Linked DNA regions of Macaca fascicularis. The protein of the gene in region 2 binds, or shares a complex with, the protein of the main gene of each other region. Links are inferred from orthologs where the notes say so. Each region holds a gene or a part of one and is shown on either strand. Other genes may lie near its edges.

Evidence for each region. Proteins that work in one complex are often made in the same cells at the same time.
Region 1: the proteins of GSK3B (region 2) and FRAT1 are in contact, whole or in part, in a crystal structure (PDB 5OY4), measured with the Homo sapiens proteins. The link is inferred for Macaca fascicularis from reciprocal best matches to the Homo sapiens genes GSK3B and FRAT1. Residues at the interface, in NP_001139628.1 of Homo sapiens: Tyr216, Ile228, Phe229, Ser261, Gly262, Val263, Asp264, Leu266, Val267, Ile270, Lys271, Thr275, Pro276, Ile281, Tyr288, Thr289, Glu290, Phe291, Lys292, Phe293, Pro294, Ile296; in NP_005470.2 of Homo sapiens: His200, Leu202, Leu203, Leu206, Val207, Ser209, Gly210, Asn211, Leu212, Ile213, Lys214, Glu215, Ala216, Val217, Arg219, Leu220, His221.

What each region holds. Positions count from the first base shown.
Region 1 is NC_088383.1:106,269,605-106,273,539, reverse strand, and holds FRAT1 (proto-oncogene FRAT1), read right to left. Parts: upstream 2,801-3,935; 5' UTR 2,601-2,800; coding exon 1,761-2,600; 3' UTR 211-1,760; downstream 1-210. UniProt on the Homo sapiens protein: Positively regulates the Wnt signaling pathway by stabilizing beta-catenin through the association with GSK-3. May play a role in tumor progression and collaborate with PIM1 and MYC in lymphomagenesis.
Region 2 is NC_088376.1:163,177,221-163,180,720, reverse strand, and holds part of GSK3B (glycogen synthase kinase-3 beta), read right to left. Parts: intron 1,222-3,500; coding exon 1,028-1,221; intron 1-1,027. UniProt on the Homo sapiens protein: Constitutively active protein kinase that acts as a negative regulator in the hormonal control of glucose homeostasis, Wnt signaling and regulation of transcription factors and microtubules, by phosphorylating and inactivating glycogen synthase (GYS1 or GYS2), EIF2B, CTNNB1/beta-catenin, APC, AXIN1, DPYSL2/CRMP2, JUN, NFATC1/NFATC, MAPT/TAU and MACF1.

The sequences.
Region 1 (3,935 bases), on a different chromosome or scaffold from region 2:
TCACTTTCATTTAATTTCATGCCAGCTCCAATACACACCCAGCTGCGGAGACCTTGTCTAGCTAGTGAGCTGCTCAGACACAAAGGCGCTCTAATTACCATCCGCAAGCCAGGCTGACAGGGATTTCAAGTGTTTTCATGTTTATGGAGATCAGAGAAATGTGTTCTGTACATCTTTTTCACCGATGGCAAGTATAAAATAAAACCAAACAAAAAACCCAACACATTTATTCAAAGCAGGCATTTCAGTTAAGTTAAAATCCTATAATCAGGATAGCCACAATTCCAGACACTCCGGTGCGAAGTGTAGATATGTCAGTAGCCACATCTGGATGATGAACAAGCCATTGACTATAAAAACGAGAACAACAGCACAGTCTCAGCGCCTTTAGAGTGAGTGAACAGTATGTTCCAAGCACTTCACCATGGTTCACAATGGCAAAGCCTGCAGCTTCTCCATTTGGAGGGTCACATTTTCTACTCGGTTTCCTGCACTTACAAAGGCCAGCTGGCATGGCTGGGGGAGGGGCAGAGGGAGGAAATCAACTCCGCTATCCAGGGAATTGCAGCTGTTATTGCAAATGGCCCCAGAGAGCCCATTATAAGCTGCTGTGCTAGGCTGTGTGTCCCTGGAGTGCCCATCACATGGCGTCTCCCTAGCCCCCAACCCAGGCCCCCAGGATCCCAGAGCCACCCGCTTGAGTAGGACAGCAGAGCCAAGTGGGAGAGGAGGAACCCGGGGCTCCGTCTCGGGAGTTTCCGTGAAAGCCCGGAGCGCGGCCAGGGGCGGTGGTCGCCTAGGGAAGCAGACGCCCAGCACGTCCGCGCTTTCCCACACCCGCGGTGGCGGCGGCGCGCGTGTCCTCAGGAGACTCCAGCACTTGCAAAAAACACTGCGCTCTTCTCCGAGCACGGGCAGAATCCGGCTACTCTGTCCCGCAACCCAGTGCGTGCCCAGGAAACAGTGACCTTGAACCCGAGGAGAGGCAGGCCGGCTGTGAAAATACACTTTAGAGAGCGCGTGGGGTTCACTCCGCGCCTCTCTACCCTTCCATCACCATTCAATACCCCCCGCCCCCACCTCCTGTCCCCACCCGTGTCGTACAGCCTTTCCCCCACCACTCTGAGAAAGGCAGACAGTTGCAAAGGGAGCGCAGGGGTTAACTCCTATTCAACCCTCAAAGGGTCCCTTCATGGCACCGCGTGTTTGATATTAAGCAGCACCTCCAAAGACACAAGATGGTTTTTTTAAGTGTTGAAAATATTCAAGTCTGGCAGATTGGGGTGCACCCTGAAATTATCTACTCATGTTCCCCTCCCCCAAAGTGGATCAGGAGCCAGCCCTGAAAAGGTAAAGCAAGTAACTGGCATCATCCTCAGTAGTTCCGGCGCGCCGCGATCCGGAGAAGCGTGGATTGTGGCCACATGGTCGCGGGGCTGGAGGGCACTGAGAGGCTGCGCGGAACTGCACGCTCCGCGGCTGGGTCGGGTCACTCCAAATAAGGAATCCTACTAACTTGTAAGCTTGGGGTGCGCTCTGTAAAATCCGCCTTAAATAGGGCCGAGTTCTGCATTTCAAATATTTTGGCCCTCAACCCCAGTTACCCGCGAAACATTCGCGATTTTTCTGTTCCTCGTCTTTAGCTTTTTTCTCCCACTTCCAAAAGCCAGAGTTCTCCACCAGCCTGAGCAGAATTGCAGCCCTCAGGGGAACCCGTTGCCCTCTAGTCTGAGGCCGGCGCTGTGGGCACCCCGGGCGTGTTAGCTGCCAGGGACAAGAACGCCGTCGCCAGTTCTGAGCTGCGCCCTCCCGGAGGCGCCAGGGTCACTGCAGGCCGCGCGAGGGCTGCGAGGTGAAGGGGGTTCATGCACCGGGGCCGACAGAGGTCCCAGGAGCGGGCGTTGGGGAAGCTTTGCACGTAACTGCAGCCGTCGCGAATGAAGCCTTCGCACGGCCTCCTTGATGAGGTTTCCAGAGAGCACTAGCTGCTGCAGGAGCCGGTGCGGGTCGTCGTCGCCTGTGCGGGTTTCTGGTTGGGACCCGCGTCGCTGCTGCAGGCGGCGGGAGGCGGCGGCGCCCCGGAGCCATCCTCGCCGGCACGGACCCGACAGCGGCTGCGGGACGCCCTGCTTGCCAGCACCCGGAGGACCATCGAAGTCGGCCTGAGGGGGCAGTGGGGACAGCGCGCTGGGGCCTGTGGCGAGCTCCGCCACGCAGTAGGGCGCAGCGCGGCCCCGCACGCGGCCGCGGTCCCCCAGGGCGCAGCGCAGGACCCCAGGGGGCGCCGGGCCCACAGTCTCAGCCGACGCGGGAGGCAGCAGCAGCGGCACCGCCGGGGGCCTGGCCTTGTCCGCCGGCACCGCCGCAGCCAGGGGTCCCGGGGCCCGCAGCGGCGCCCCCGGGGGCGCGCACGGCGAGGCCGGGCTGTCCTGCGCCGCGTCCAGCTGCAGCGTCTCGCCGATCTGGGCCACCAGCCGGTCCACCTCGCCCGAGCTGCCCAGCGCCACCGACTGCTGCAGCAGGAGGAAGCTGTCCTCCTCCTCTTCCTCCCCCTCCGCCTCCTCGCCAGCTTCCTCTTCCTCCTCCCTCCGGCAAGGCATGGCCCCCTGTCCGGGCACCCGGAGCTGTGCGGGCGTCGCTGGGGGCTCGACTGCCGGCGGGTGCGGTGGGCCGCGGCGGAGCGGGCGCGGAGCTGAAGACGATGCCGGGGCCGTGGCCGGGGCCGGGGCAGGGGCCGTGGCGGACGCGGAAGCCGGAGCCCGCCAGTCACTCCAGCCGCGCGCCTGCAGCCGCGGGAGCCGGAATCCTGCCGGCTCGGGTTGATTTGTAAACAATGGGTGACGTCGCGCTGGGCCCTACCACCGCGCCGGGGAGGGGGTGCTGTGCCGCTGGGGGACGGGGCTTCTGCGGGACTGGGGGTCTGGGTGAAGCCGGACTGCCTTCTGAGCTCCTTCGCTCAGGGTGCTGTCTGCAAGGGCGCCCTGGGGACCTGATCCTGGCTCCCGCAGTCGGGCGCGATTGGCATTTCCAGAAATGGACACCAGCGTGGACCTTGTTGGTTTCTTCCACACACAAGCACACACACACAGTAACACACACACACCGACCCACACACCCCTTCTCTCCGTGCGTCAACTCAACCGGGTTTTAGCGTTTGCGCTTTTGAGGTCCAGCATGCGGGTGTCTGGTGAGGATGGAAAGGAAAGGGAGTCAGGCTAGGGATTTGTACGGAGATTAGGGAAACTGACGGGAATGGGAAGGAAGAAGGGGACCTTGTCGTGCGATGGAGGTGGCAGAGTTGGAAATGGCAAAGAAAGGCCACGGATTAATGTTTCTTGATCGAGATCCTGGGCGGATGGGGGCCTGGACTGGGGTTGGCATTGCTGGAGAGGAGGAGGTTGCTAGTCTTTTTTGTTTGTTTGTTTGTTTTTGAGAGGGAGTCTCGCTCTGTCGCCCAGGCTGGAGTGCAGTGGTTTCATCTCCACTCACTACAACCTCCGCCTCCTGGGTTCAAGCAAATCTCCTGCCTCAGCCTCCCCAGTAGCTGGAATTACAGGCACCCACCACCACGCCCGGCTAATTTTTGTATTTTTAGTAGAGACGGGGTTTCACCATGTTGGCCAGGCTGGTCACGAACTCCTGACCTCAGGTGATCCACCTGCCTCAGCCTCCCAAAGTGCTGGGATTACAGAGGTGAGCCACTGTGCCCGGCCTAGGTTGCTAGTTGCTAGTCGTTTTTTTTTTGTTTTTTGTTTTTTGTTTTTTTTTTTTTTTTTTGAGACAGAGTTTCGCTCTTGTTGCCACAACCTCCACCTCCTGGGTTCAAGCAAGTCTCCTGCCTCAGCCTCCTGAGTAGCTGGATTACCGGCATGTATCACCATGCCCGGCTAATTTTGTATTTTTAGTAGAAATGAGGTTTCTCCATGTTGGTCAGG
Region 2 (3,500 bases):
AGGAAGATAGCAAAAAAAAAAAAAAGTTACAAGAAAAATGAATAGTGTTGTAACACGGTTTGGATGTTTACCCCTTTCCAAACCACATGTTGACATGTAATCTCCAGTGTTGGAGGTAGAGCCCGGTGGGAGGTATTGGATCAAGGGGGTCAACCCCTTATGAATGGGTTAGCACCATCCCCTTGTTGATGAGTGAGTTTCCACTCAGTTCACAGGAGATCTGGTTATTTAAGAGAGTCTGGGGACGGGCATGGTGGCTCATGCCTGTAATCCCAGCACTTTGGGAGGCTGAGACAGGCAAATTGCCTGAGCTCAGGAGATTGAGACTAGCTTGGACAACATGGCAAAACCCTGTTTCTACAAAATAATAACAACAATAAAAATAATAAGAAAGTCTGGATCTCCCCCTTCATGCTCTGGCTCAGCTCTCACCATGTGATGCACCTACTCGCCCTTCACCTTCTACCCGTGATTAGAAGCTTCCTGAGACAATTATTAGAAGCAGATGTCTGCACCACACTTTCTGTACAGCTTGCAGAACTGTGAGCCAATTAAACCTCTTTTCTTTATAAATTACTCAACGTCAGGTATTCCTTTATAGAGATGCAAAAATAGACTAACACAAGTTGCATCATGAATTAAAAAAATTTTTTTCAAGAAAGGAAGCATAGGAAACTACACAAAATACTTATATGCTACAGGCAGTGTTCCTCTGGTCTACATCAACACAGTACAAGGGTGGGGACAGGTCGCTTTTTAAAGTATAAATTAAGAAATTTTAACTTACCTTTCACAGGATTTATATATATATGTCATTTATAATGACTACAAAAGTAATACTGCAATCTTCAGTGAATTTTCTCTCTACAAAATACACGACTAGAAATAAAATCATTGTAATGCTTGAGCTGGACAAAAATGTGCACAATAGAAGAAATTTGAAGCAAAAAGAAACAACCAAAAAATAATCATTTATGGTACATGTATTATGACAGCAACAAAATACATGAAATACCAGACGTTTTACCTTAAATCTCTTGTCCTGCAATACTTTCTTGATGGCGACCAGTTCTCCTGAATCACAAAGTTTGGCTTGATACACCACACCAAATGATCCATTTCCAATCACTTTAGTGTCTGTATAGCTGACTTCTTGTGGCCTGTCTGGACCCTGCCCAGGAGTTGCTACCACTGTGGTCACCTTGCTGCCATCCTTGTCTCCTAACGGAAGAAAGGAAAAAAAAATTTTTTTTAATGAGAACTATAAGGAATTAAATAGAGAAAATTGCCAACATATACAAGGTAAACTAAATTCTTTCTTTCTTTTTTTCTTTCTTTATTTTTGAGATGGAGTCTCACTCTTGTCACTCAGGCTGAAGTACAGTGGCACAATCTCGGCTCACTGCAACCTCTGCCTCCCAGATTCAAGCAATTCTCCTGCCTCAACCTCCCGAGTAGCTGGGATTACAGGCACCTGCCACCACGTCTGGCTAATTTTTGTATTTTTAGCAGAGACGCGGTTTCACCATGTTGGCCAGGCTGGTCTTGAACTTCTGACCTCAGGTGATCCGCCCTCCTTGGCCTCCAAAGTGCTGGGATTATAGGCATCAGCCACCGTGCCTGGCCAAAATAAACCATATTCTTTACTACAAATTATTTTTCGTTTATCACATGTAATTACTTCAATTACTTGTTTTGATTATAAGTCATTTTTTAAACTCCCATGTATTTAGTCATTCCACAGACCAAACACAATGCTTAGTTTCAATCCTATGAGGTAGACAGTACTGTTCCCACATTATAGGTAATAGGAAGAATGTTAGATTTGCCCATGGTCAAATAGCAAATTGTGAGCCCATAAAAGTCTGACCTTATCCATCCAATTCTAAAAGGTCTTAGGGCTTTTCTCAAGATCTTATTTTACTTGAAAATAAAATGTGTGCAAATAAAAATGTTTAATAATTCTGACTCTCTTCAGATCCTTCTGCGTTTAGGAAAGTAAGGCTTTGAGTTTTAAGTTCCCTGAATAATCTTTTTCACAAAGTAGAAGACCTCTCAGAGAAAGCTCAGGTTAAGAAAAGAATGTTAATTTGGGGTTAACAGATATAAAACTTAAATAATCCAATCCATTCTGAACTGAGGCCCAATTACAAGCAGATTACTGGCTCCAGGGTCTCTATTTACTCATAGCTCTCTTCTTCCCTTTTTTGCCTTCTCTCATCCCTGGTAGCAATTCAAAGGCTTTCTTCAATTGAGGCACAAGAGCCACCTCCTACTTGACCAGGCACAGTCCACAGTCACCATGTTGTTTTCTGAATTCTTAATCGATTCTCTGAATTATGCTACCTAGTATCTGATCTAAAAGAGCTTTACATTGTTCTTTTAGTGACTTCAATGTACACAAAAATGTCTACTATTTCTTCTCTCTTCCCTGACAAATCTAAAACCAATTCTCAGTACAATATAAGTCCTTAGGCTCACTTATTGGACTTTTACTTTTTCCTGTTATTCTTCCATTATGACAATTTTCATTTTAAAATACTAACTGAATTCCAACTAACCTAATAAAAGTAATATAATATTTATGAGTATTTTTCTCTGTGAAATATAAATTGCTAGATAAATGAATATCCAAATGCACTAATAAGATATTATAACCAATATTTATATCCATTTAAATTCACAGAAGTATTAATATACACAAAAGCCAGTGAATGTCTGCGACCAATTAACACCTTCGTTTGCAAGATGGCATTTATGGTTGCTTCCAAGATGGTCGAATAGCTCTGGTCTACAACTCTCAGGAAGATCGATGCAGAAGACAGGTGATTTCTACATTTCCACCTTAGGTACATGGTTCATTTCACTGGGACTGGTTGGACAGTGGGTGCACCCCACGGAGGGCGAGCCGAAGCAGGGCAGGGCGTCGCCTCTCCCAGGAAGCGCAAGAAATCAGGGGATTTCCTTTTCCTACCCAAGGGAAAGCATGAGTGACTGTACCTGGAGGAGTGATACACTCCTGCCCAAATACTGTGCTTTTCCCATGTTCTTCGCAACCAGCAGACCACGAGATCCCCTCCCATGCCTGACTCGGCGGGTCCCACACCCACATAGCCTTGCTCACTGCCAGGGCAGCAGTCTGAGATCAACCTAAGATGCAGGAGCTTGGTGGGGGGAGGGGCGTCTGCCATTGCTAAGGCTTGAGTAGGCAGTTCTATGCTCACAGTGTAAACAAAGCAGCAGGGAAGCTCAAACTGGGCAGAACCCACCAGAGCTCAGCAAGGCCTACTGCTTCTTTTACATTCCACCTCTGGGGGCAAGGCATAGCTGAACAAAAGGCAGCAGACAGCTTCTGCAGACATAAACGTCCCTATCTGACAGCTCTGAAGAGAGCAGTGGTTCTCCCAGCACAGCGTTTGAGCTCTGAGAACTGACAGACTGCCTCTACAAGTGGGTCCCTGACCCCCGTGTAACCTAACTGGGAGACACCTCACAGTAGG